Linked DNA regions of Cricetulus griseus. The protein of the gene in region 1 interacts with the protein of each later gene in a pairwise test. Links are inferred from orthologs where the notes say so. Each region holds a gene or a part of one and is shown in the gene's direction. Other genes may lie near its edges. The genes, in order: Trim41, Zbtb8a, protein FRA10AC1 homolog, Gpatch2l, Meox2, Csnk2a2 and Ehhadh.

Region 1 (4,005 bases):
CCCAAACAGTTCTACCAACTGAGGACCAAGTATAAGCCAAGTATTCAAATATATGAGCTTATGGAGAGTCATTCTCATTTAAAACACCACAAGTATAGCTATTTGGTAGTATTTACATTGTAGTGGGTATTATGAGACATTTAAAGTATATGGGAGGATATGCAGTTATTATGCCATTTTTTTTTTTTTATTATGCCATTTTATATAAGGGATTTCCACATCTGCTGATTTGGGTCTCCTGAAACAAACCCACTTGAATATCTAGAAACAACTGTACCTACAAAGCATTTTACCTTTTGGCCCCTAAGTGTATAATACTTGCTGTTTGCACCTTTACTGAAGAGTTTGTAAAGGGTGTGAATGACTTCTCCTATGGCAGCTGAGACTACTGAGAGTCAGGATTTAATTTTGTAGCATCTTCCTTTCATGTTTTGAGACAGGATATTATATTGTAGCCCAAACTGGCCTCAAATGTGGAATAATTCATTGTTTCAGCCTCAAGAATATTGGTATTATAGGCATGAGCCCTCATGTCCAGCTTTACTTCAAGTCTTGCTTCCTAAATTCTCTTATTTGTTAATTCCAAAAAATTCTTACCAAATACCTATACACTATGGTTGGCACTATGCCGGCCTTTGGTGGCACTGTGGCAAACAAAGGCATGCATAGGTCCTATTTGTGAGAGGTATGGCATAGAAGAGGATAATAAAAAGAAGATAATATTAAGCTAGGCATGCAGCTTATATCTTTTTTTTTTAAGATTTGTTTATTTATTATGTATACAGTGTTCTGTCTGCACATGTGCCTGCACACCAGAAGAGGGCATCAGATCTCATTACAGATGGTTGTGAGCCACCATGTGGTTGCTGGGAATTGAACTTAGGACCTCTGGAAGAGCAGCCAGTGCTCTTAACCACTGAGCCGTCTCTCCAGCCCACAGCTTATATCTTTAAACTAGCAAACTGGAGGTTGATGCCAGAGAATTGTGATTTTTGAGGCCAGCCTGGACTTTTGTCTCAAAAACAAAACAACTTTGCTGGCAAGAGGACTCAGTAAAGGAGTCTGCCATCAAGTTTGATAATGATAACTTGAATTTGATCCCAGTTACTTACGTGGTGGAAGGAGAAAACCAACTCCTGCAAGTTGTCTTCCGACCTCCATACATGTTCCCCCAGCCCATCTCCATTATAACATAGCATCTCCAATACAGTGATATGGAGTTGGTGCTGCACAGATCTGGAGAGAAGCTTCTTTAGAACATGTTAGCTTCCATTTAAAGAGTAAATTAGTTAGGGCAGAGAGAGATAGGTATTCCAGAAAGGAATTGGTGACTTTGGACCAGTGTGCCAGGTTTGCGCTATTGCACTGGCACATAAGACTGAGATGGGGAAGGAAACTTCTCTTTCCATTCTCAGAACTTCTTTGCCTGAGATTGAGAGTTAGCAGATAGAAAACTGCAACTATACCTTTCTGTGTATTCAGGTGGTGGCCTCCATTCCCTTTGCAGCTCTCCATTTGTTAATTTTTAAAATTTTACTGTATGGGTGCTTTCCGTGTGTGTGTGTGTGTGTGTGTGTGTGTGTGTGTGTGTGTGTGTGTATGTATGTATGTATGTATGTATGTATCCATTGCATGATTGGTGATCACAAAGGTCAAAAGAGAGCATCACTTCTCCTGGAACTGGTTACAGATGGTTGTGAGCTGCCACGTGGATGCTGAGAATCAAACTGTGGTCCTCTGGAAGAATAGACAGTACTCGTAATCAGTGAACTATGTCTTCATGCCTGCCTTTGCATCTTTTCAGAGTCAGATGAAGTCAGAACTGGCAGCTGTGGCCTCAGAGTTTGGGCGACTAACACGGTTTCTGGCTGAAGAGCAGGCAGGACTAGAGCGGCGCCTTCGAGAGATGCATGAAGCTCAGTTGGGACGGGCAGGAGCAGCAGCGAACCACCTTGAGGAGCAAGCTGCCCAGCTAAGCCGCCTGCTTGCTGAAGCCCAAGAACGGAGCCAGCAGGGGGGCCTGCGGCTGCTGCAGGTAAGCACTCTTGCCTCTGCCCTGCTTCATACTCCCCAGCTCCCTTTTTGTCCTATTAGGCAGTGCTCACCAGCCACTGCTCAGAACTGTCTGTTCCTCACTGGAAAGAACCCTAATTCTTTTAATCTGAAGATCAAACTTTTTCTTTCTTTCTTTTTTTTTTTTTTAAATATTGAGTATGATGCATGTGCCAGTCATACCTATAGAAGGCAGATTCAGTTGTTAGAAATAGGGGCTTAAGAGTTGATAGCTTGAGGAAGGTGTCTGGGTCAGATTGTGAAAATTCTGTTACTGGGGCTTACCGCAGGATGATATATTAGGTCTGGTGGTCAGGGTAGGTGAAGAGTGTTCATGTTTATTGTGATCCGGGAAGGTGCTGCTTTCTCCCTTCCTGTTGAAGCTCAATCTTTCTTTAGGGGACTGGGAGAGAGCAGTGAGCCTTGTGCAGCTGACACTTTCTCTTTTTCCCTCTCCCCCCTTTTGTCTTTTGTTCCCAGGACATCAAGGAGACTTTCAATAGGTATGTTACCACTCTACCCTTTGTGACCCAGTAGTGTTTGGGTCCCCACTCTTGCCTCTCTTGAGACTCCCTTCCTCCCTCCCTGTCTTCCCACCCTCTCCTTCCCTTCCTCCCAGGACCTAAGTTCCTGCTTCTTAGACCCTCCACTTCACCGCCCCCCCTTGGCTTTTGTTCTGGGAATATCATGTTCCCACCCCCTACCTGGTCCCCCCTCCTCCAGGTGTGAAGAGATACAGTTGCAGCCCCCAGAGATTTGGTCCCCTGACCCATGCCAACCCCATAGCCACGACTTCCTGACAGATGCCATCGTGAGGAAAATGAGCCGAATGTTCTGTCAGGCTGCAAGAGGTAGGGAGGTCAATAACCTTCCTTTGCCTTTCTTCTTACAGACCCGAGTTGAGGTTGAGGGAAGTTTGGGTAGCTGGGATGGAGTAGACTACTGGTGGCTACTCTGAGGGTTCAAGCCAAGAGTTGTTTCTATGGTGGCCCAGCTGTTTTTGGTAGGTGAGGTGCACAAAAAGCGACAGGGGAAGGCTGGCAGGTGGTAGAATTAGGATGAATGTTAGAACCCATAGATCCGGAGCTTGGCCCCCAATATGGGCTGAGAGCTTAAAGAGTTGAATGGGATTGGAGGGGATTATAGAGATGAGCCTGTGAGGGATAAGGTGTTTTAGCTCTGCTATATTCATCTTTCCTCTTTCCAAGTCGATCTGACGCTGGACCCTGACACAGCTCACCCAGCCCTTATGCTGTCCCCTGATCGTCGTGGGGTCCGGCTGGCAGAACGTCGGCAGGAGGTTCCTGAACATTCCAAGCGCTTTTCAGCTGACTGCTGTGTACTAGGGGCCCAAGGCTTCCGTTCTGGCCGGCACTACTGGGAGGTAGAGGTGGGCGGGCGGCGGGGCTGGGCAGTGGGTGCTGCCCGTGAATCAACCCATCATAAAGAAAAAGTGAGCTCTGGGGGGTCCTCTGTTAGCAGTGGGGACGCCAGCTCCTCACGCCATCACCATCGCCGCCGCCGGCTCCACCTGCCTCAGCAGCTTCTGCTCCAGCGGGAAGTGTGGTGTGTGGGTACTCACGGCAAACGATACCAGGCACAGAGCTCAACAGAGCAGACACTGCTGAGCCCATGTGAGAAACCACGGCGATTTGGCGTGTACCTGGACTATGAGGCTGGGCGCCTAGGGTTCTATAATGCGGATACCCTAGCCCACGTCCACACCTTCTCAGCTGCCTTCCTTGGCGAGCGTGTCTTCCCATTCTTTCGGGTGCTTTCCAAGGGCACCCGCATCAAGCTCTGCCCTTGATCAGCCTGCCACCCGCAGGGGCCCCTCCAGTCACTGCTGGGGGGGCGGGTGGTGGTGGATGATTGCCCACTATGTTTGTGAGCTCAGGCTCCTCCCACTGTTTGTTACTGAGTTGCTTTCTGCTCCTCCTTGAACCCAGGCTG
Region 2 (2,982 bases), on another chromosome or scaffold:
TATCCTTAACAGATTCAGATAAAACACTTTTGGCCAGGACATATCAAGGCTAATGTTGTATATTTCACATGTCACACTGGGAAGCACTTACTAATTGGAGGACTGGTTGTCCATGACCACACATTGTTCACTTTGTTGGGATGCTGGAACCGTACTCCCAACCATCTATATTGAGATCTGTTGCCCTCTTCTGGCACGCAGGCATACGTGCAGGCAGAACACTGTATACAACTGCATACATAATAAAGCTTTTTTAAAAACTTAGTTTTAGCTCTCCCTCTCCTCTCTCTCTCCCTCTCCTCTCCCTCTCTCCCTCTCTCTAGAGCTAGAGCTACAGCTAGAGCTAGAGTTACAAAGGCAGCTGTGAGTTGCCCAGTGTGGGTGCTGGGAACTGAGCTCAGGTTCTTTGGAAAGACAATGTGTGTTCTTAACCACTGAGCCAATCTCTCCAGTCCTCTTTTTTTTTTAAAAAATAAATCTTTTAAAAAGCTTTTCTTTTTTAATTTTTATGTGTATGAGTGTTTTGTCTGCATATTGCATACTTATGCCTGATGCCCTCAGAAGCCAGAGAGGGTACTGGGTCTCCTGAAACTGAACTTTTAAATGGTTATGAGTAGATACCATGTAGATACTGAGAATTGACCCCAGGTCTCTGGAAGAGCAGCCAGTGTTTTTAACTGCTGAGCCATCTATCCAGCCTCCATCTAACTTTGTGGCTCACAACCATCTGCAATGAGATCTGGGGCCCTCTTCTGGCCTGCAGGAACACATGCAGACAGAACACTGTATATATAATAAAATAATTTAAAGAAAAACCTTATAGTCATTTTTAGAGAAAGCTGATATGTGATGTGTCCATGGTGTGCATTTGTCAATATCTTGGGATCTTTTCTGATAATTAGATCTTAACTTGAATTTAATGTATGGCTTTGAGCATCTGAAGAATATGAACTGGTCCCTAAAATAGCAAACTTGACACACTTTTGAAAATTTTATTTACTTATTTATTTATTGTTTTTTCAAGACAGGGTTTCTCTATGGCTTTGGAGGCTGTCCTGGAACTAGTTCTTGTAGACCAGGCTGGCCTCGAACTCACAGAGATCCGCCTGCCTCTGCCTCCCGAGTGCTGGGATTAAAGGCGTGCGCCACCAATGAAATGCCCAGCTGAAAACTTATTTTAATCACTTCTTAAATCTCTATACAGATCCATCAGGCATGCAAACTAATCTGCAGGAAATGCAAACGTCACGTGACTGACCTCACAGGCCAGGTGGTGCAGGAAGGAACCAGGCGCTACAGACTGTGTAACGAGTGCCTTGCTGAAGCTGGCATCGACAGCCTCCCTGTTGATCTGGAAGCTGAGCAACACTGCATGTCCCCCGCAGATGGAGATAAGGATTCGAGGTGGCATCTGAGTGAGGAAGAGAATAGATCCTACGTGGAGATTGTGGAGGACGGGTCTGCCGATCTGGTCATAAAACAGGTTGAAGATAGTGAGGAAGAAGAGGAGAAGGAAATCAAACCCAACATTAGGTAGCCTGAAGTGCGACTCCTCAGAGCTGGCCTGCCTGCAGTTTACATGGACGTCCTGTATCTCTCCATGGGCAGAGCCCGGTTAATGGATTTCTCCGGCTGGCTTAGAAGTGACCTGGTGTAACTTGCATGCTTTTTGAATAGGCCATTGTATCCACTCTGAACTTGGTTGCCCTGAACTATGTTGCTGCTCTGGGAAGACCTTGCTTGTATTGGCATGATGGATGATCAGTTACCCTTTCTGTTATTACACAGATGGCATTTTGTTTAAATATTGGAAAAATCTATTTAGCAAACATTTTTGAGTAAAATATTTTAAATTAATCTATCACAAAACTTTAAGACAATCTTTTCTATTATATTTTTATTGATTCATTTTGTTTTGGGGAGGAGGGGAGCCTGTGTTTGGAAGGAAGCCAGAAGAAAATCCTACCATGTGGGATGGAATTCTTGGTGGCAGGGCCCCTTACCTTCACCCACCAATAAACCTGCCTACAAAATGTTAATGTATTTTAAAAGCATGTATGTTATAATACTAAACCTCACAGGGAATCAGGCAAGACTGAATTTGGGAGTCTGGCTACCCAATTGCAGGCCCCAGCAAATGTATTAAAAATTTCAAGTCCAGGGGCTGGAGAGATGGCTCAGAGGTTAAGAGCACTGACTGCTCTTCCAGAGGTCCTGAGTTCAATTCTCAGCGACCACATGGTGGCTCACAACCATCCGTTATAAGATCTGGTGCCCTCTTCTGGTGTGCAGATATACATGGAAGCAGAATGTTGTATACATAATAAATAAAGTCTTTAAAAAAAAGAAAAGAAATCCTGAATATGTATTTATAAAAAAAATTTTTTTTCAAGTCCAGCTGGATGTTGGTGGGGCACGCCTTTAGTCCTAGCACTCGGGAGGCAGAGGCAGACGGATCTCTATGAGTTCGAGGCCAGCCTGGTCTACAGAGTGAGAGCCAGGATAGGCTCCAAAGCTACACAGAGAAACCCTATCTCGGGGGAAAAAAAAAAAAATTCAAGTCCAGGGGCTTTTAGAGATGGCTCAGCAGTTAAGAGTACTGTCTCTTTAGAGGACACATATTTGAGTCCCAGCACCCACATGGCATCTCACAACCATCTGTAGCTCCAGTTCCAGGGAGTCTTAACACCTATTTCTGATACGTGGGCATCAGGCACTCAAGTGGTGTATAAACATACATGCAGGTAAAACATAAAAGTTAAAAATTTTTTCCCCTGAACTACAAATTGACTTATAAGACAGCCATGGCTACACAGAGAAACCCTGTCTCATAATCCCAGCACTCAGGAGGCAGAGACAGGCAGATCTCTGTGAGTTCAAGGGTAGCCTGGTCCACAGAGCAAGTTCCAGGACAACCAGGGCTATAGGGAAACCCTGTGTTGAAAAGCAAAAAAAAAAAAAATTATTCTTGTGTGTCTGGAA
Region 3 (4,005 bases), on another chromosome or scaffold:
TATATGGCCCAGGCTATCCTAAACTCAATCTCCTTATCTTAGCTTCCCAAGTGCTTCGATTCCAGGTATGAGCTACCTGTCCAGCTGAAGGCTATATTTTCACCAAGTTGCTGTGTTTAGGGAGGGGCATTGATCTTAGGTTTCAGTGCTTAGAAACTTCATAAGTGTTAACGTCGGAGTGCTTGATTCGTACTAATGGAACTTAGAGAAATTGGTGTATTATTCCACAGTAAGACTAATATGTTTACTAACTAGGACTGAACATTATGAGATCAGTCTTCATGAATAACAAAAAGAATAGTAATAATTATAAATTAATATAACAATGTATGTTTTCTAGAGTTTCATTAAAAACATTACTTCCTGATCTGAGAATGTAATTAAGTTGGTAGAATGAGTGCCTAGGCTACATGAAGTCCCAAGTACAGTCCCCAAGAATAGAATTTGAGCAAATTTACTTCGGTACTATGGTCTAGGGTTCAGTTTATCTACATCATCAATAGGGTTGATCATTTGTGGTAAGTCTCCCTTATAGTCAAACTTTCTTTTCCATATTTTTTTTTGTTAAATCTTCATTATTCCTATTTTACAGATAAGTAACCTAATAATAAGATTAGGGTGGTAAATGATTGAGACAAGAACCTGCTGGTTAGAACCGGCCATTTTGTTTTGTCTTTTCCATTTTATAAGTATTAAATAGAATTAAGATTCAGAATGTCTCGTTAAAGATCAGCTAGTCTTTTAAAGTTAAGTCTCTAATTCTTTGAGCTGAGGTGTTAAGTTACTTTTCTTGTGAACCAGTACCTCACAAGAAACAACTGCACGGGGCTACAGTCGGGGAAGGGAAACACCTGGAGTCCGGGGCATGAAGGGGTACAGTCAGGGAGGGGAAACACCTGGAGTTGGGGTCACAAAGAGGTACAGTCAGGGAGGGGAAACACCTGGAGGCAGAAGCATGCAGTAGCTGGACATGAGTCTGTGTTCAGGAAACCAAGAGCAGCTATGAGTGAGGCCCAGGTTATAAAACCTCAATCCATCTGCAGTGATCCACTTCCCAGCAAGGCTCCACCATCCTGAAGCAGCTTACCCGTGGGGCCAAGTGTTCAGGTGTAGTCACAGGAAACTTTCACCTTCAAACTGTCACAGCTGAAATGCAGGTCACTCGTAGAATGCTTCTAAGCAATCCTGGGCATGTGAAAAATTAACACTTAATTTTTCTTTTTAATACACTAGGACAGTCGAAGATGAGTTGCTGCTTACAAAACCATTTCAAAAAGAAAAACATGGAAAGGTGGTCCATAAGCAAGTTGCGGCAGACCTGCTGGACAGGTGTGGTGTTTCGGTGTTAGGACATTCCTTGGTTTAAGCTGTTTTATAATCTCAGGACAAGTGGATCTGATTATGTTGGCAAAACATTGGATATTTGAATTTACGTTAACTTTTTTTTTTTTTAACAGGGAAGAAGCGAGAAATAGAAGGTTTCATCTCATAGCTATGGATGCTGTATCCTTTTTATAGTCCTGTCTTTATAACTGATAGACTATTTCAAAATCTGCTTGTTAACCGTGTTTTCTAATTTTTAAAAATCAAAATCTTGTCAAGTTAGATAGACCAGTTTTATATTTACAGGCTAGTATTATTACCATTTAGATTTTCAGCTATAATTCTCTATTGCTAATATATAGGAAAAATTTAGAGGTAAAATAATGAAAAATAGTAGGTTTCTTTTTTTTTCCCTATAAATAGACTTAAAAAGTTCATGAACTTGGAGATGTTCCAGGCTGTTCTTGTCAGGCTTTCAAAATTTCCCTTTTCTGTTCCTGTCTTCTGTAATATCATTTTAATTTATTCACTTCACACCTGGTTCTTCACTATTTTAAATTTTCTGCAAAGCTTCTCTTTTAAAATTAAATCTGCCTGAGTGCCATCCTAGGCCTGCTGTCACTCTGTTCCTCAGGTGTGACTGGAGACTGTCTGGTCTGTGAGTCAGTCAGACTGGCTCATGGCACTGCTACACTGACATCACACTGTTGTGTCGATATTAGAGAATTGGAGAGGCCAAGCTGAGGTGTTTCTGTGTGTCCTCTCCCAGGCCATTGGAAGCTTGGCTTAAACATATGTTCTCTCTTCTCTGACACCTTCATTGAGGGCGTTAGGAGAACAAAAGTATAGGTCCTATTTTTCTGGCATGGATGGCAGAGGACCCCAGTGTTTTTTTCTGGGATGTTTTGCTACAGAGGAGTAATTATGTTAAAAGTTAGTGGTCTTGCTGGGTGTGGTAACACACACCTTCAATCCCAGCATTTAGGAGTCAGAGGCAGGCAGATCTCTGGATTTGAGGCCCGCATGGTTGAGGCCAGCATGGTCTACATAGCAAGCTCCAAGCCAACCAGGGTTACATGGTGGGACCCTGTCTCAAACAAACAACAACAAAAACAGTTAATGATCGTCCTAGAATGACTCTTAGCCTTTTAAAGGTGAGGGAGAGTGGGCTGTTGTTAGGCAGAGCAGGGTGCTGTTAGGGAGAGTTGGCTGTTGGTGAGGGCGAACAGGTTGTTAGGGAGAGCACGCTGCTGTTGTAATTGTTTCAGTGCATGCTTATTAGTGTTTTCAAGTTGCTAGCCTCACTTCTAAATCTGGGATAGATGAGGCAGAAAGAAAGCTTGGGGAATATAGTTCAGCATAAGGACAGTTCCTGGTGTGTCTTTCAGTCACCACCTTTCACAAGCTTGTATTTGTTTTTAGATATAATGCCTAAAGTTGGAGTTGTTAGCATAAGGAATAGGGAGAAGTGTGCCTTTGCTTGTCTCCCACTGACGTGTTTTTGCCCTAGAAGAAGTTGTGTTGAACGCAACCCTGCCTGCTGCTTTTGACTGCTTCATGTTATACTAGTAGAGCTCAGCAGTAACAGCAGAGACATGAAACTGAAAAGCCTGAAGAACTTGTCACCTAGATCCTTAGGGGAAAATTAGCTGCTCTAATAGCATGCCCAGTTAGTGGTAGTTGAAGAGTTTGAACCCAGGCCTTGAGATATTTGGACTCCCCCATCTCAATTTCATGTTCTGATTGTCTCTTAGACTACAATCTGATCAGTGAAATCACTGTTTCTTAAGAAAGTGGTCACAGAAGTTGAGACAGCTCAGACTGCATGTGTTTGAGTGTGGAGACTACTACCAAGGTTTTAAAAACTGAACATTAAATATTCATGTCTTGTTACAATGCATGGAAAATATACATGGCTTGTGTTTTCTTTGAATATTAAAGTTGAAAACGTCCTTAGTTTATTTATTTCATTTCTGTTCTTCTCTTTTCAAGGCACTGCCTGACTCTGTGGCCCAGGGTGGCCAAGAACTCTTGTTGCTCGTCTTGCCTCAGCCTCCTGAATGCTGGTATTATAGGTGTAAGCCACTATGCCTGCCCTTCTGATTTCTTGTTTGCTTTTTGAAACCTCAATGTTGTTGGGGCTTAATTTTATAAACATTATATACTATTTTTATATACCTTATCATTAATTATTATATTTTGTAATAATAAGTGATAAATTCTACTTTTTAACCTTTAATTTAGATGCCACAATTTCTTTATTTGTAATAATATTAGACTGAATGAGAGAAGGAGGTTGAGTATAATCTAGGAACAGAACAGAAAGCTCCCTTTCCCCCGATGGTTATGTATTTTTTATCACAATAATAATGTATGCATGAAGATTCCAAACATTACAAGTGATACATACTTGAAATGTTTTCAGTAGAAAGCAAGTATACTGTACAGTTGTCTGTCTTGATTTACACATTTAAAAATGCTAGATACACTCATGTCACACTTTCTTTTCATTTAGTAATATATTGCAATGGAAAAACTCTTGAGCAGTTATAAATATCCTTAATGTTGTGCATTTCAGTATCAAAGGCACACAAAGTTTGTCAATGACTATATTTTGTACTATGGTGGCAAAAGGGAGGACTTCAGGCGCTTAGGGTAAGTATTGTGAAGCTTACATAGGAT
Region 4 (4,005 bases), on another chromosome or scaffold:
GAGGAACAACGCATCATGGGTTTTAACTATTTTCCTGAAGTTGCTGAGCTATGTGTATTAGCTAAGTTTCTGTTCTTTTAAGTACGTTTGAAGTTACCACTCAAGTTCTTTCAGTCTTAATTCATAAAGTTAACCATTTTTCAAAGGACTGTTTATTGTGGGAAAGTACAAAGAAGGCTAGCAACCATAAAGTGAGGTGCTTTGTACACACTACCCCGTTTGATCCTCAGTTCCTGTTTGGTTCTAGGATGCACTGCCCTCTCACCATCTTAGTCACCTTTTAGGGTCAATAAGTGAGAAACTGAAATCACTTTAGGACCTGAAAAGCAGTATTTGAGTTAGCCCTGCCAGTAACCCTGTTGTAAGACTAGTAGGATGGCCAGTGATACACCCTGGAGAGGAATCTAGTGAAGGTCAGAGGTGATGCAACTTTTAAATGTAAGCAACTCAGTGGTGCATTCAATTAGGCATTCTAACTCTAGGCACCTTCTGTTTACACTGTGCTTATAGTGTGTCCTGGGATGTGCTGTGCAGTTGTCCTTGAAAAGGTAATTTCATGCTAGTCCTCTTGGGAAAAGACTGATACATAGTGGATAATCACTAAGTGTAGGTTCTCAGACTGTCCATTAAGAAATACTGTATTTGGCCATTTAAGTGATTATTGCATGAAAATTTTGCTTGACAAGGAATAGTTTTGTTTGCTATGTGCTGGGAAATTATGGACATAAAGTTAGACATGCACAACTTTATTGAATGATATTGATGTTTATGGCAGAAGGGTTGGACATAGTCAAAGAGAGCATGTAGGCTGCTCTTTGGAATCAGGTCTCTTTCATTTAAGCTATACTGAAATAATCTGATTTATCCCCACAGTTTAATCCTCTCTCTCCTCTTTACTCCCTGGATGTTCTTGCTGATGCTTCTCATCGAAGGTGTTCCCCTGCACACTGCTCTGCCAGGTAATTGGCTCCCAGCGGTGATTATGTTCTTTTGGAAAGTGCTGTGTTCCTTATCATAACACTTGAGATTGTGTGGTATTATGTGCACAGGATCTGATTTGATCCTTAGAACAACCTTTAGAAGTAAGTCCATGTTTCACAGATGTGGTAACAGGCTAAGAGTGGAGGAATTTTTCCTGTGATCACATGGTCGTGTCTTCTGGCTCATATTTTGTATTATTTCTGCGGCTAAAAGCCCATCTTCAAAGAACAGTATTAATGTCCCTTGCCATGACCTGCAAAGCCCTGCATAATCTGATTTCCGCCAACATGGCCAACTTCCTTTCCTACAGTCCTGTCTCTTCTCTGAGCGGAAAGATCTAGCAGTACCAGGGAGCTCCATTTTCTTTTTTCTTCTTTGAAAATGGCAGACCTTTGCTCTCATTCTTGTTGTCTGGAAACCTCTTTGCACCCCTGGATAAGGGGTCATCTACAGCACCATCTGTTTCCTCCATAGGTCTTACCATTGTCTGTAGTGAATATGTGTACTAGTTTATTTAAAATTCCACCTCTACCCTATTGTCTTTCTCTAGAGTGCAGAGACCTTGTCTGATTCCCTAATAAATCTCAGCATGTGCATCTGGCACTTGTTAGGCATTCTGTATGTATATGTCACATTTGTCATTATGGATTCCCTTAATTCAGGTATGGTGTGATGATGGCACTTCTTAGCAGTGTTATTGTGCACAGAACAGCTAACAGTCTGGACCAAAGAACTCTTGTTAGTTTTGGTAGCATGAAGAATTTCTTCTCCAAGGTTCTGATGCTTTTTGTTTGGTTGGTTTTTGTTTTGGTTTTTTGAGACAAGCTCTCACTTTTGCTATGTAGCTCTGACTGTCCTGGAACTATGTAGACTAGGCTGGCCCCAAACTCACAGATCTGCCTGCCTCTGCCTCAGAAGTGGTGGGAGTGAAGGGGGGTTACACTACACCCAGCTTCTGATGCTTTTTTATTAGTCACCTCATAAGTAAATGTGCTCATAGACTTGTGCTTTAGCTGCACAAAGAAGTAGCTGTTCTTTGGGCATAGTTACTAAGAGTTAGGATAATGAGCCCTGTTGCATAACCTACTGCTAGATCTTTCTGCTGAAGAAGTATTTTAAGTCTTTTGAAAAGGAGAGGCCATTGTAAATAGTGTTGCCAAGATGTGGAATTGGGGCTTATACAAACTTCCATTGTAGGCCTTTACTCCTGTATCATACTGTTTATCATTCATCTATCCATTCATTCAGCATTTGCTGACTCTCTACTATGTGCAAAGACCTTTGTTTTTGTTTAGAACTGAAGCGCTCATGAGAAAATCAGATATAGAAACTGATAGCTATGATAAAAACTTGCGCCTGAAAGCCGTAACACACAGAGATGGAGTTCCTAATGCAGACCCATCGGGGGTCTAGATTTCAGTCCATAGAAGAACACCTCTGTGTTTTGTATACTATTTGTAGTAGCTGTTTGTGCTCTTTGGGAAGACCAGATGAGCAGTACCACATAAGTCCAGCATACAGAGTGGATTACTCCATCCTCCTCCTTCCATGTCTGCTACCTGGGCTACACTTAGGATAATAGCATTGGCATTTCTCTCTTCTTCATTAGAAGCCTCTCCCCGACTCTTCTGTGGCCAGTACCCAGAGCTAGATTCATGATACTTTGTGCATCTTGTTACTCTGTCATTATGGTTCCTCTCTTGACTGGTGGCATTTGTGGGTGGCCTTAGAAACATTAAAAATTCTCAGCCAAACTTCTAGTGTGTGCAGCTGTGTTACCGTTGCTTTGAGCTCTTGCTAGAAGCAAAGGAGAGAGAATAGAGGCCATTACCAGTTGTCTTTGTCTTGTCTTTAGGTAGCAGTCCCAGATTAGTAGGCTGGGTGCAGGTTCTTTGAAGTCGGGGCGGGGGTAGTTTGAGTTAACAGTTATTGTCTTATCCTTAAGTTTCTCTGTTTTAAGTTATATAACTCTGTTTGGCTTATACCACATGTGTGTGCATTGTATGTATAGTATCTTCTGCTTCCTTGCAGTTTTCACTTAATGAAGGACACAGGAAGATTTGAAAGGTGCTGTTCTGTAGAATGATTAGAGCAGGTGTCTTTGGTGCAGGTTTCAGAAAATACGAGTGAGAGTCACTGAGTTCTTAGGGATAGCTCTCAACCATTTATAGTGATGGGTCTCCATGCAGCAAGGTGTCATTGGAGCAGGACCTATCTAACTCTAGTTGGGGGACTTGTATGATGGGATTTGGAACCATGCAGAGTCTTTTAAGAAGAGTGGACCATTTAGCAGAAGCCTTGCATCAAGGAGAGGGTGTAAAGGAGCAGAGTGCTGGAGAAGAGGTAGCTGAATGACAGCATTACAAAGTGTTTCCAATGGAGATTTTATCTTTTTCTTGTCCCATTTTATTTGTAGTAAGAAGAAATTCTGTTCAAAGCATCTGGGCAGCACTGGGAATTTTACACCCATCATTAGAACGATTTGTGCGCGTGTGTGGTGACTGTGTTATCATTAGTGGTATAATTTTATTTTGCAAAGAGAGAAGTGTTTCCTGTTTTATCACAGCTTTCCCTGAGGAGGGCTGCTGTATTAATTTGCTGTATTGCCTCCTGGCTGTTCCCAGGCTGTTTTTCCTCTTCATCATGGAATTTTTAATGGCCCTCGTGCCTCCTGGGAAGCATGTGAGGAAGAGTTCCTCAGGGAGTGCTTCCCTTTTTTCACATGCCTATAATTACTCTCCTTTAAGAGCACAAAGAGTCTAATAATCATGCCTGGGCTCTGAAGGTTCCCTCCTGTCAGGGATCTGAGCGGAGCTACTTCCTTGCTGGACACTGCTGTCTGCACTCTGCTCGACTTCAGCATCTGAACATGGCCACCTCAAAAACCACATACAGCTTGGGACTTCAGAGTAAGCTGAGGCCACTGGGGTATGGTGAGTGACCTCAAGTACTGTAGGTTAGCATTTCAATATATGCAAATAAATAATGAGACCTAATTTAAGGTAACACTGTATGAATGTGTCA
Region 5 (4,129 bases), on another chromosome or scaffold:
GCCTCGAACTCACAGAGATCTGCCTACCTCTGCCACCCGAGTGCTGGGATTAAAGGCATGTGCCACCAATGGCCGGCGTGATTCTGTATTCTTAAATAGATAAATATGTGCATGTACAATATATGATATATGATGATTTCCATGGTTACTTAAAGTGACACAAATGAAAGTCTAGAGATAAGATATATCTAATAATTCACTGTGCAAATGTTTGAAAACAGGCCACTAGCTTCAGTGTGTAATATTCAAACATCTTTGAAAGCTGAACACACATCTCATGATTTCCCCTGAGCACTGTGTATTAGTATAAATTCAGAATGTGACAAATGTTCAAAATAGTTTTGATAAATAAGAGTAAGGTATTTTTCTGTCAGATATGAAATATATTTTTGACAAAGGTGTAGGTAGTTGGTGAAGTCATAATGCTTACCATGAGTTATAACACAGGAAAAAGGGAGTCATGGGAAGTGGATGGTCTATTTATGCAAAAGAACTATAAAGTAATTGGATGCAAATGAGGAAAAAATACCTAACAAAAGAAGCAAAGGGATAATAAGCATGATAGTTTACTGTAGCAAAGATTATTTTTTAAAAGGCAAAATAAAAGCACAATCAGTAGTCATTTATTAGGAAAAATAATACAAACAAATCTAAACCTTGGTGAATATGTTAATCAGCATGAAATCATGACTGAGCCAACGAGGAAACTAACCTAGGGGAGCTTTCTATCATTGTACTGAGAATCATCATCACATTTGCTTCAGCCTTTCCATGAAGGGTCATCGTCCACCCAGGGAAGTCACAGGGTAAATGCTGAGAACTTTTATTGTGCCCGAATCTTGCATCCACTGTTAGATGGTGTTTACAAATTAGAAGTTAATAAAGGCAAGAGCACAAAGGGGGCAAGTAAGGAAAATCAGCTTCCTGTAGAACACTGAGAGAGCAAGTGCACAGCAATTATGCCCACAGACAGTCCCCAACTTGACAAAAGTAGGCTTGAAACTTTTCTTCATTCAAACTTTATTGTGGCATTATTCCATAAAATAAGAAGCCTTCCTGATCACTCATGTTCTCCTCTCCCTCCCCTTCTCCCTCCTTTTTCTTATCTCCGTCCTCCCACCCTCATGTTCCCAATTTACTCAGGAGATCTTGTCCCTTTCCCCTTCTCCAGGGATCATGTATGTCTCTCTTAGGGTCTTCTGTGTTTCCCAGCTTCTCTGGGGTTGTGGATTGTAAGCTGGTTATCTTTTGCTTTGTGTCTAATACACACTTATGAGTGAGTAAATACCATGTTTGTCTTTCTGTGTCTGGGTAACCTCACTCAGGATGGTTTCTTCTAGTTCCATCCATTTCAAGATTTCATTGTATTGTTTTGTTTTCCACTAAGCAGTACTCCATTGTGAAAATGCACCACATTTTTGTTATCCATTCTTTGGTTGAGGGGCATCTAAGTTGATTCCAGATTCTGGCTATTAGAAATAATGCTGCTATGAACATAGTTGAACAGATGTCCTTGTGATATGAATGTGCATCCTTTGTATATATGCCTAAGAGAGAAATTGCTGGATCTTGAGGTAGACTGATTCCCATATTCCTGAGAAACAATCATTCCGATTTCCAATGTGGCTGTACAAGTTTGCATTCCGACCAGCAATGGAAGAGTGTTCCCATTTCTCCACATCTTCTCCAGGGTAAACTGTCCTTGGAGTTTTTGATTTAACCATTCTGACAGACTCTGACAGGTATCTCAGAGTTGTTTTGATTTGCATTTTCCTGATGGCTAAGGATGTTGAGCAATTTCTTAAGTGCCTTTTGGGCATTTGACATTCCTCTATTAATAATTCTCTATTTGGATCTGGATCCCATTTTTAATTGGAATATTTGGTGTTTTGGTGGCTAGTTTCTTGATTTCTTTGTATATTTTGTAGAATAGCCCTCTGTCAGATGTGGAATTCAGCAAGGCCAAGTTGGGAGAAGAACAGAGAAGGACAGCAAGGAAAGAGATACCTTAATAGAGGGAGCCATTATGGGCTTAATGGGATGTCTGGCACTAGGGAAAACTCCAGGGATCCAGAAGGATGACCCAAACTAAGAATTTAAGGAATAGTGGAGAGGCTACCTTAAATGCCCTTTCCCTATAATGAGATTGATGACTAAATGCAGCCTTCATCCAGGAACTGATGGAAACAGAAGCAAAGATTCACTGCTAAGCACTGAGCTGAACTCCTGGAATCCAGTTGTACAGAGGGAGGAGTGATGAGAAAATGGGTCAAGACCATGCTGGGGAAACCCACAGAAACAGCTGACCTGAGCAAATGGGAACTCATGAACCCAAGTCTGAACCTAAGCAGGTCCCCGAACGTGGGTGTGTGTGGGGCAGTCTATGGGGCTTCTTGAAGTGGAACCAGTATTTATGCCTAGTGAATGAATGGTTTGGGGGAGCCCATTCTCTATGGAGCGGTACTTTCTCAGCCTAGATATACAGCGGAGGGCCTACGTCCTGTCCCAAATGATAGGACAGACTTTTATGGTCCCCCATGGGAGGCTTCATCCTCCCTGAAGAGTTGATGGAAGGTTGGTGGGTTGCAATGGGAAGACAGGAGGAAGAACTGAGGTTGGTATGTAAAATAAGGCTGTTTTCAATTTAAATGAAAATTAATTAAAAATCAAAAAGCATCTGGACTTTTAGTGAGGTGAATTATAATTTTTCCGTTGATGGGAATGTGTTTGCTGAGATTATTGCCATCACAAGTCAGAGGGTATTTGTAATGAATAGCACCCTTTCAGGGACAGATTTGTCACCAAATAAACCAGCATGAACTCTATGGCCAAGTCAAAGAAGAACTTCAGAGCATGGAGAAACATAGGGTCGTGATATATATTCGTATATGTAAACAAAATTGCAGAGATGAATATAATGAATATAATGTGTTCATTCATTCATAAACTTCAGCCTAGTGCTTGCAAACAAGCTTCTCCACCTCTTTCTATCTATTTTCATTTGTTAGAATTAATGAAGATTCTGTCGGGACTGTCTAAACATTTTCGATTTTCATGCACATGCAACCTGATTCAGTGCAAGGCTGAATGGTTTCCGTAATCATGACATCTGTGTGCAGGCCCTTGGGGATCTAGGTTTCATTACCTTCTTTGACTTATTTATTCCCTTTCCTTCCAGGTGAAAGTGTGGTTCCAGAACAGGAGAATGAAGTGGAAGCGGGTCAAAGGAGGACAGCAAGGAGCTGCAGCTCGGGAAAAGGAACTGGTGAATGTGAAAAAGGGAACACTTCTCCCATCAGAGCTGTCGGGGATTGGTGCAGCCACCCTCCAGCAGGCAGGGGACTCACTAGCAAATGATGACAGTCGTGATAGTGACCACAGCTCGGAGCATGCACACTTATGATGTATACAGAGACCAGCTCCATTCTCAGGAAAGCACCGTTGTGATGGCAAGCCTAACCCAAACATCGTTTACATGGCAGATGACTGTGGCAGTGTTGTTTAATATAATTAAATGCAGGCATCTCCAGTCTTGTTTCTCATGATTGATAGGTTTACACGAAGTGCCTCTTATGGAAGATGCTTCCTCAGTGAAATTGGAGAAGGTTAACGTATTCCAAATACATTTGTTCTATATATGACAGAGAGGGAGATGAGTGTTTGCTTTGGCGTTCACAGAAATTTAAATTGCTACCAAGAGCAAACTTGATATGAAGTTTTAATCAAGATGTCTCCAGAGTGAAGATGTTAAACATAAAAATGGTTGGAACTTTTAAGTTGTACTAGGTCATGTGTGTGACATTGGGCAGGTATTTGCTTTTGCTTGCACTGAAAATTAAACTGCTATTAAGTTAACCCATGAAATCGTTCATCCTGAACAGCCACAGTGCCTGAAATCACCAAGTGGATAGAAAATGTATTCAAACTCTGTATATACTACCCCTAAATCACTTTCCTGTCTTCACTAATTTTAGCAAATGCATTCATATAGCTAATGAAAATAGGCTTTCCCGTTAAAACCATGGCCAGCTTTTTGTATTTTTATACATCTTTGTCAGTCAGAGACAATGAGTATGTGCTTAATTGTGTTCAATAGATAAAATGAAGTAGAGTCTGGTAGGACATATTC
Region 6 (4,005 bases), on another chromosome or scaffold:
AATTTTCTGGCCTCTTGAAGCTTTCCAGTGCTCTTTAAGCCAAAGGTCTAACTTTGGGGTTCACAAAGATGGCCCATGATATGTATGGAAAAGAAGACTTAAGAGCTGTGAGTGTTTGGATGGTGTCAGGGAGTGTATTAGATTTAAAAAAAAAAAAAAAATCTGGATATAGTGAGCATGCCTTCAATCCCAACACTCAGGAGTCTGAGGCAGGATATCAACTTTGAGGTCATCTGTGTGCAGAGAGAGGGCAGCCTGACTGATCTGTGTAACAATCAAAAGGAAAAGGGCTTATTAATTGAGACATTTCTTCAAAGGCAATATAAATATAGAATGATCAATAAACATGTAATGATAATTTGCTTCATCACTAATAAGGAAATACAAATCAGAAACACATGAGATACCACGTTAACGTACCTAAATAGCTGTAATTAAAAAAGGAACAGTGACAGGAAGTGGTGGTGCTTGACTTTAATCCCAGCACGTGAGAGGCAGAGGCAGGTGAGTTCGACGTCAGCCTGGTTTACAGAGCAAGTTCCAGGACAGGCTCCAAAGTTAGACAGAGAAACCCCGTCTCAAGGTGATGGATACCTTTAATCCCAGCACTTAGGAGGAAGAGGCAGGCAGATCTCTGTAAGTCAGAGCCAGCCTGGTCTATAGAGTGAGTTACATAGAGAAACCCAGTCTTGAAAAAACAAAAGAACAGTGCCAAGTGTTGTTGAGAATGTGGAAAGACTGGAACCATTGTGTGTTGGACTTGAGAAAACAGGCAGTTCCTTAGAAATTGTAAAGCTAACATACAACAAGGCACTTCTGCCCCTAAAAAAACTTACACACAGTTTGCATACTCCCAAAAAAATCTTACACATGGTTATTCATTGCAGCATTGTTCTCAACAGCCAGAAGTAGAAACAACCCAAGTCAGTAAACTAGTAAGTTCATAAATGATTCAGTCTCAAAATTAAATAAGCTCAGTGAGAAAGGTGAACAAAGTACTGTAGCATTAGGAATGTCTGGTAGGAAGAAATCTCTAGAACAGATACCCGATCCACCAGTGGCTTCAAGAAGCTTGGCGTGGGCATTATCTCAAACTCCAGGAAACTGTGAAGGTGCTGAAAAGCTCTGAAACATGGTGACTTGGTTATACAGCTGTCAGTTTACTAAAGATCATTGGCTTTTAACACCACAAAGCCTTTTGATTCTATTACAGGAAGTAGTTTTCTCTTTTAGAATAGTAATGATAATTCTTAAATGCTGGCTCAGGTTTTATGTTTACGGAAAATGTAAATGCTTCTTATCTGGAAAACTCATAGCCCACATAGCATAAGTGTGCCTTGTTTTAAGATACGTTAAGGTGTCATTCTTCATGCCCACATGGATTCTGAGGTCCCACACTCTGGCCTCTCATCCCTTCTTTTTAAAGCAACCTTCAGCATGATCATTGACAGCCCCCTTTCCACTGGCTGCCAGCTGTAGTGTCCACGGAGAGCATCTTTTTGTTTCTCTCCTTAAAGGCAGTAAGCTGTCCTTTTTTGAGACTGTTCAAGTTAAAGTGTCACAAATAATAAAAATGTGTTTGCGTTGTGGGTGGTAGAGGGTTTGCTTACTTTTCTCTGTGCTTTCTTACCTACTAGGCTCTGGATTACTGCCACAGCAAGGGAATCATGCACAGGGATGTGAAACCTCACAATGTCATGATAGATCACCAACAAAAAAAGGTACCAATCCAGCCAGGCAGCACCAAATCTTTGCTGAAGGTTTAGGAAAAACCTAAACATTGTCCAATAGCATTGTGGTGTATGTAGACCACACTGATTTCTTAAGTAGACTGCATTACTTTGACTTCTCTAGTCTCCAGGAAGTACACAGAGACCTTGACTTTGGTCACTAGTTTTATTTTGGTTTTAGTGTTCAAAGGGCCTCAGGAAGAAACTACATCAGTGGTCTCTGCTTTGATTCTTCGTGAGCATTAGACCAGTCAGACTAGCCCTAAAAAAAATACACTTGGGTGTTTCCAACTCTGGTTGTCATAGACAGGGTTAGCTTAGTGACCAACTAGAGCAGCACTCTAAGGGTGTGACTTACGTGGTCACACACGTAAGCCCTTCATTAGTGCCTGGAGCTTATGTTAAGAGCTATGAATGGTGGGGGCATGTGTTCCACATGTAAGTAGCATGGAGACCAGAAAAAAATTAAAAAAAAAAAAAAAAAAACAGTATAACTTAAAAGGGAAAAAACTCAGATATATTCCAAGTACTGTGCTCCATAAATGACCTCATCTGCAGTTTCTGAAGTAAACTTTTTCCTGGGTACACTGTGTGTGGCCGAATACCTGTTGTAGAGATGCAGTGTGGCCTCGTCATAGGCAATGGCATCTCAAAGTGCACCTTACCCATTCTGTTGGGTCTTTGTCTTTCTCATAGCTCCGACTGATTGATTGGGGTCTGGCGGAGTTCTATCATCCTGCCCAGGAGTACAATGTTCGAGTGGCCTCGAGGTACTTCAAGGGACCAGAGCTCCTTGTGGACTATCAGGTGAACTTATTAGTGAAGCTGCGCAGAGCTATTTTTATATTTCCTTAGGAATTTTCCTGGTTGCTGTGTGGTCACTTTGGATGCATTCAAAACCCAGTTATTCTACTCTAAAGGTTTTACTCAGCAACATTAAAAAATTAATTATTTTTATGCATGTATGTATATGTGCCACAGCCCATGTGGGAAGGTCGGAAGACAACTTGCAGGTGTTTGTTCTCTCCACCATATTGGTTCTTGTTACTAAACTTAGTTTAGTAGGCTTGACAGCCTTTACCAGCTGAGTCTTTTGGTGGCTTTTTGGGGTGGCGGGGTGCGGTGACTTAGTTACAGAGTAATTGCAGAGAGGCTGAGGATGGAACTTAGTAGTAGATGTTTGCCTAATGTGTATAAGGCTCTCTCAAAAGTCAGAGCTAGAGGTCAGATGTCAAAAGTCAGAGCTAGAGGTCAGATGGATATGAGAAACTTAATCAATGAGTGTCTAACTATCCTTGACTGATGGATCATCCTTCCTGCATTCAGATGTATGATTACAGCTTAGACATGTGGAGCTTGGGCTGCATGTTAGCGAGCATGATATTCCGAAAGGAGCCATTCTTCCATGGGCAGGACAACTATGACCAGGTGAGCAGATTCATCCCTTGCTTGTTTGTCATGAATGTTAGGGAAATAGCCTCTGGGGACTGTGTAAGCTAAAGGATTGTTCAGAATTGTATGAGTGAGCATGAGGGCCCCAAGCATGCCGAGACAGACAATGCTGCCTAGTGAACTTTCAAGATGGGTCTAAGAAGTAAGGCACTTCTTTATCTAACAAAATCACATTATAGTTATTTGATCAGTGTCCCCAAAGATGTTAGCATCTAAGTTATATCAACCCTTTAAAAGCAGTTTAGGGGGCTGGAGAGATGGCTCAGAGGTTAAGAGCACTGACTGATCTTCCAGAGGTCCTGAGTTCAATTTCCAGCAACCACATGGTGGCTCACAACCATCGGTTATGAGATCTGGTGCCCTCTTCTGGCCTGCAGGGATATATGCAGGCTGAACACTATATACATAATAATTTTTTTTTTTTTTTTTAAAGCAGTTTAGAAACTTGCATTCATGTGAGTGTTGTGTTCTTAAGTCTCTGTTTATCCTAGACTCGGGTCTCTGTTAAGTCATTTGGGATTTGAGTGGCATGGGATTTCCTGATTCCCAGGCCTAGCACAGTGTCCACAAAAGCTCACAGAAAGCACTGTGCTTGGTGGTTGGGTCAGTTTTGTTCTGTGTTTCAGCTTGTTCGAATTGCCAAGGTTCTGGGGACAGATGAGCTGTATGGATATCTGAAGAAGTACCACATAGACCTAGATCCACACTTCAATGATATCTTGGGACAGTAAGTAAGAAAGGAGAGGGAGGGAGGGAGAGAAGGAGAAAGGAAAGAAGGAAGCACTTTGCTCTACTTCAGAAGTGGTAAAGTTAGACAACATCC
Region 7 (4,660 bases), on another chromosome or scaffold:
GTGACCCATGAGCCTTTTCCTTCTTCTCAATGAGACTTAATTGGATTCTTTGCCTGACAGATTGAGATGGGGAGAAGAAGCCACCTGTGTTTTTCCCATGGATAGAGACCTGCATGGGCCAGCAGGTAAAAGTCCAGGATTTTCTATAGGGCTCACCATTTACCCTCTGGGCACTGTAGCAGTTCCAGTGCTTAGAATGATTTCTTTGAAGCAGTAATGAACCTGAGATGAGTTCGGGAACTGGGGACTCAAGATAATGTAGTTGCTACAGTGAAAGCAATGTACTTAAGCAGAGGGCGACATGCAGATAGTGTGCAGTGCTTACCCAAGAGGAATGAGATCCTGTGAAGTAGCCAAGCACTTCATAAGACAAGTAAAATAATAGGATATGGCAGATCAAACCAATAATCAAAAGACTATCAAATAGTCAAGCAGTCTTCAAACAGCAACACAGTTACTCATCCATGGACTAGCAAATTACACATCCATGGACTCAGCAAATATGGAACCCATGCATACAGTTTTGTACTAGCAGGAAAAGAAAAATCAACATGCTACCACCCAGCTGTATCCGATGGTCTCTCAATGTGCTACATTTACAAAGGGACTAATTGATAGGACTGTGGGTGATCCTGTTGTTGAGGCATAGCACTGGGTGAACCTGATAGTAACTGCCCTTTGAACTTTGTCCCTTGAAGGTCTCACTTGCCTCACATAGGTCCTGTCCCTGTTGAGTCGCCAACTCTAAACACCCAAGCAGTATATTAGATTTACATAGAAGCTTACACCCAGATCCCACTGTGGGAGCCACAGCAGAAAGCTCTGGGCTCAACTAAAATAAAAAATGTAGAGACACGATGGCCAGTGACTGATTCCTACAAGATGAAGAGGACAAAGTGTCACAAGCTGGCTCCAAATATGCTTATCTTCCCCTGCTCCAAGGCGGAGGGGTGCAATAAGGCCAGTCAGTGCTATTAAACCTTGAACTCTACCTGTTCAAGTTCCTAGGATACTGTGGCCGAGTGTGTTCTCCTAGTTACCAGCATCTGAAGGGGGACAAAGCTGAAGCTACTGCTCCTGTAGGCGGGGAGAACTGGGCTGGCCATGCAGACTCTCTCCAACAGAACACACTAGGAGAGTTTGGGGACTAGTTAGTCTACAGATTAGGCATGGTTTGAGAGGTAGTAGATAGAGATTCCCGACGTTTGTCTGAAGCCGCTTGCTCCCATGAGGCTGTTGTCATCGCTGACACCTGAAGGAGTGCTTTGGGTGATGGGCTGTCCTTGACATGTGGGGGCTCCCATGCCTCTGAACGCAACTTGTTACCAGGGCTTCCAGGGCACTCAGGATTTTTCTACTAACTAAACCCTTTCTTAATTTCAAGAAGTAAAGAACATGTCTGGAAATAATCTTTCGACCTTGTTAAAACTTGGGAAACATCAGTGAAGATTTACGTGTGTGTGTGTGTGTATGTGTGTGTGTGTGTGTGCGTGCGTGCGTGCGTGCGTGCGTGTGTGTGTGTGTGTGTGTGTGTGTGTGTGTGTGTGTTTCTTGTCCACCTGTACACTGTCTTCTGGCTACTTGGTGGGCTTTGGCAACCATGAAAAACATGCACATCGGAAGGACCCTGTCCAGGCTGAGCTTTGAGAGGGAAGAAACAAGGCATGGCTTATTGTCAGTATCCAGCCTACGTCCAGCTCATAATAGGTGTGCAGTTCATGGATGAAGTATGAGAAATCCCAGCCCTTAGACGGGGACAGAACCAGAGAGGAACAGGCAGACCGGGCACTCGGGGCTTCGTGCCGGGGCAGATGATTGGTTTCGGAACACGTGTTTGACTCCAGTTGTGAGACCCAGCAGCTCAGCATGCCTTTCGACATTCTGTCTGCTAGCCTAGGAGGACTACCCTTCCCTGGAGCGCAGCCAGCATTGGGGAGCATGTGGTGCAAGGGGCAGGAGGCGGTGGCGGCGACTCCCATTGGTCCAGCGCGTGCCCCTCCTCTCGGAGCGGCCCAGAAAAGAACTCCCGGCTGTCCCAGACATCAGAGGTGCAGGATACCTTGAGAAAATGGCTGAGTATCTCAGGCTGCCTCACTCCCTGGCGATGATCCGCCTCTGCAACCCTCCGGTTAACGCCATCAGGTAACAGCACCGGGTCAGGGGGTGTGGCGGGTCTGGGTCGGGGCTCTCCTCCCTAGAAGGACCTGCCAATGAGCAGCTGGCTCCGGCCTTCCTTATGTCCGCTGTCAACCTCACAGCTCGCTCAAGTCTGCTTGGTTCTAGTGGTTCAGGAACCTACAGAGGCGTGGCTTTCTGCAACCCTACTTCGGGCTAGCAACCCTAGCTTCTCTGTGTGAAGCCCAAAGCTATAGTTACCCGACTCAGAGAGTGGGTCTCCAAGCTCCAAGCTCCCTGTCAGAGGAGGCTGCTGCATAGCATTTTCTGAAAAGCTGAAGTTTTGTTTACTTCATTGGCCATGCCCTGGGTGCAATGCCCTTAGCACATTGCTTTTAAAAGTGAGATCTGTTGTCTTTTTGGAAAATGAACAAGTTGACTTATCTTGTTCATTCCATATCACTGGCGAACAGAGTATAATTCTCTATTAGCCTCAGGAGGAATTACCCGTACGCAGACTGCCGAAGTGGTGGACGGGATCATGACCGATAGTGTGCAACATTTACCTGAGATGTTGCTAAAATCCCTTTCCTGGGGGAGACCTCCTACAGCCCAAAGGACAACCCTAGAAGCAATTCCAGACAAGTTCACTCTGGGGGGAACCAATGGGTTTATTCGGCCAACTTTCAGAACAGTGAGGGGGGAGCTAGGAGCAGAAGCATGGGTGGCCTTAGGGCAGCCACACTAGAAAGCAATCCTCCCTGGCAAAGACGACGAGTTCCGTTTGACTGTGCTGGAGTCTCCTCCCCTAATCCTTCCTACCTGTAGCCCTTCCCAGAGACCTGGAGGGGAGCTCCACTGCACAGACGCCCTCCCGCCCCCCCCCCCCTCTCTCCCCCCCACAGTTGCTTCTGCTCCTGTAACTTCGGAAGTGAGGGGTTGGGGCGGTGTGGGGTGTGTGTGAATCTTGCAACTCTCTGAGCTTCCTGGGCATCTTAAACATCGGTAAATTTATTTAGCTTCCAGAATCTTGTCAGTTTCTTCAGTTTCCTGAACCTTAGCCTTTCTCCTCCTTCAGGAAGGAATGCTTCAATCCCAGAAAAATAGCTGTGTAAAAGCAGAATAAATAAAGTGAAAATAGGTCATTTGGTGAAAATTCCCATCACAAGCTGCTGGAGCAAAACAAACAGATGCTGGGTTGGCACACACCTGTAATCGCAGCATTCAGGAGCCTGAGGCAGGAGGAAACATTGGTCTCAAAAACAAAACAAACAAACAAAAAACAGAAAGGAGGAGACATGTTCATTTTAAACCACACTGCCATTAGGTTTTATATTAAATTTTTTTAAAATTTATTTTATTTTATGTGTATGGGTGTTTTACCTGCACATATGTCTGTGAACTGCATGCGTGCCTAGTGCCCACGGAGGTCAAATTTTTATCCTTATTATTAATGTAATTTCTTTTGAGACAGGATCTTACTGTGTAGACCTGTCTGATCAGTGAACTAGGTGGGCCTCGAACTCACAGAGATCCACCTGCCTCTGCCTACCAAGTATTGTGATTAAAGATGTGTGCTACTAACCTGGTTTGATACTATCCTTATTTTAATGTGAAGGATTGCATTCACTAATACAAATGCAGTATGTATTGATAGAGTAATAGTATGCAGGAATAAAACCACACACATATGTATCCACTTGCTGGCCATTTGGGGGGGGGGTGGAAGTAAAATACTGATTATGTCCATTTCACAGTTGATCTCAGCCCAGAGACCAGGAAGTAGGTGCCGCGTGTGTTTTCACGAAGAAAGCATAAGCAATATGATTCCTTATCCACATGGGGTGTTTGCATACTGATATGGTTACTAGATAGAAGATTCTGCAGGGATGTCTATGTCCATCAAGAGGTGAGAGGGAATGTCCCAATCTCAGGTCCACAGTCAGATACGTTTCTAGTGTTTAACCTGCTCATTCCCTCCCCAATCTGGAGAAATGTAAGTACCTAACATAAAAAGTCCCATGGGTTAAATGAAATGGAGATTGTAAATGACTTTTACACTTGTGGTTCTCCTGGTATCTCTGAGCAGCCTGTGATCAGTCTCCTATCGTGGCCCCCTTTCTCAACATCTGCTTCAGCCTCGTGGAGATTTTTCATCTTGGACCCTGCACATTCCCATCTGTTTTACTTTGAAATTTAACGGCACGTAAATTGTTTACCAACTTAACAGCTTCCTTTTTTTTTTTTTTTTTTGGACCTTAATTTTTTTGTCCTCCCTCCTTTCCTTCTTTCTTTCTAATTTTACATAAGAAGTTATCTCTTTCTACATGAATGAGGTATGGTAACTTGTCTAATTCTCTTTTTTGACAATTAATTAAAATCCCTTGTTGCTGGAGTAGGCAGCCATGTATCCCTCCATTCTGGGAAACTAAAGTTTCTTCCTAACCACAGAGCATGGCTGATTATTGAGCTTGTCTCACAGAGTGATGGTTTTCAAGATTTTTTACTACTATAAGCTACCTAGTGAAAAAAAACCCTTAAATTT

Evidence for each region.
Region 2: the proteins of Trim41 (region 1) and Zbtb8a interact in binary tests that used the Homo sapiens proteins (3 or more experiments, as listed by UniProt). The two-hybrid records come from large-scale screens. The link is inferred for Cricetulus griseus from reciprocal best matches to the Homo sapiens genes TRIM41 and ZBTB8A.
Region 3: the proteins of Trim41 (region 1) and protein FRA10AC1 homolog interact in binary tests that used the Homo sapiens proteins (3 or more experiments, as listed by UniProt). The two-hybrid records come from large-scale screens. The link is inferred for Cricetulus griseus from reciprocal best matches to the Homo sapiens genes TRIM41 and FRA10AC1.
Region 4: the proteins of Trim41 (region 1) and Gpatch2l interact in binary tests that used the Homo sapiens proteins (3 or more experiments, as listed by UniProt). The two-hybrid records come from large-scale screens. The link is inferred for Cricetulus griseus from reciprocal best matches to the Homo sapiens genes TRIM41 and GPATCH2L.
Region 5: the proteins of Trim41 (region 1) and Meox2 interact in binary tests that used the Homo sapiens proteins (3 or more experiments, as listed by UniProt). The two-hybrid records come from large-scale screens. The link is inferred for Cricetulus griseus from reciprocal best matches to the Homo sapiens genes TRIM41 and MEOX2.
Region 6: the proteins of Trim41 (region 1) and Csnk2a2 interact in a two-hybrid assay, tested with the Homo sapiens proteins (3 studies listed by BioGRID and IntAct). The two-hybrid records come from large-scale screens. The link is inferred for Cricetulus griseus from reciprocal best matches to the Homo sapiens genes TRIM41 and CSNK2A2.
Region 7: the proteins of Trim41 (region 1) and Ehhadh interact in binary tests that used the Homo sapiens proteins (3 or more experiments, as listed by UniProt). The two-hybrid records come from large-scale screens. The link is inferred for Cricetulus griseus from reciprocal best matches to the Homo sapiens genes TRIM41 and EHHADH.

The regions. Positions count from the first base shown.
Region 1 is NC_048600.1:63,465,259-63,469,263, reverse strand, and holds part of Trim41 (E3 ubiquitin-protein ligase TRIM41), read left to right. Parts: intron 1-1,804; coding exon 1,805-2,035; intron 2,036-2,532; coding exon 2,533-2,555; intron 2,556-2,775; coding exon 2,776-2,903; intron 2,904-3,260; coding exon 3,261-3,862; 3' UTR 3,863-4,005.
Region 2 is NC_048595.1:23,683,585-23,686,566, forward strand, and holds the end of Zbtb8a (zinc finger and BTB domain-containing protein 8A), read left to right. Parts: intron 1-1,204; coding exon 1,205-1,537; 3' UTR 1,538-2,279; downstream 2,280-2,982. UniProt on the Homo sapiens protein: May be involved in transcriptional regulation.
Region 3 is NC_048596.1:23,572,141-23,576,145, forward strand, and holds part of protein FRA10AC1 homolog, read left to right. Parts: intron 1-1,233; coding exon 1,234-1,329; intron 1,330-1,457; coding exon 1,458-1,503; intron 1,504-3,901; coding exon 3,902-3,978; intron 3,979-4,005. UniProt on the Homo sapiens protein: May be involved in pre-mRNA splicing.
Region 4 is NC_048598.1:117,537,269-117,541,273, reverse strand, and holds part of Gpatch2l (G patch domain-containing protein 2-like), read left to right. Parts: intron 1-510; coding exon 511-548; intron 549-873; coding exon 874-959; intron 960-4,005.
Region 5 is NC_048598.1:164,534,758-164,538,886, reverse strand, and holds the end of Meox2 (homeobox protein MOX-2), read left to right. Parts: intron 1-3,178; coding exon 3,179-3,403; downstream 3,404-4,129. UniProt on the Homo sapiens protein: Mesodermal transcription factor that plays a key role in somitogenesis and somitogenesis and limb muscle differentiation. Required during limb development for normal appendicular muscle formation and for the normal regulation of myogenic genes.
Region 6 is NC_048596.1:171,643,581-171,647,585, reverse strand, and holds part of Csnk2a2 (casein kinase II subunit alpha'), read left to right. Parts: intron 1-1,637; coding exon 1,638-1,721; intron 1,722-2,426; coding exon 2,427-2,537; intron 2,538-3,056; coding exon 3,057-3,158; intron 3,159-3,808; coding exon 3,809-3,909; intron 3,910-4,005.
Region 7 is NC_048597.1:67,141,121-67,145,780, forward strand, and holds the start of Ehhadh (peroxisomal bifunctional enzyme), read left to right. Parts: upstream 1-1,509; 5' UTR 1,510-2,068; coding exon 2,069-2,142; intron 2,143-4,660. UniProt on the Homo sapiens protein: Peroxisomal trifunctional enzyme possessing 2-enoyl-CoA hydratase, 3-hydroxyacyl-CoA dehydrogenase, and delta 3, delta 2-enoyl-CoA isomerase activities. Catalyzes two of the four reactions of the long chain fatty acids peroxisomal beta-oxidation pathway.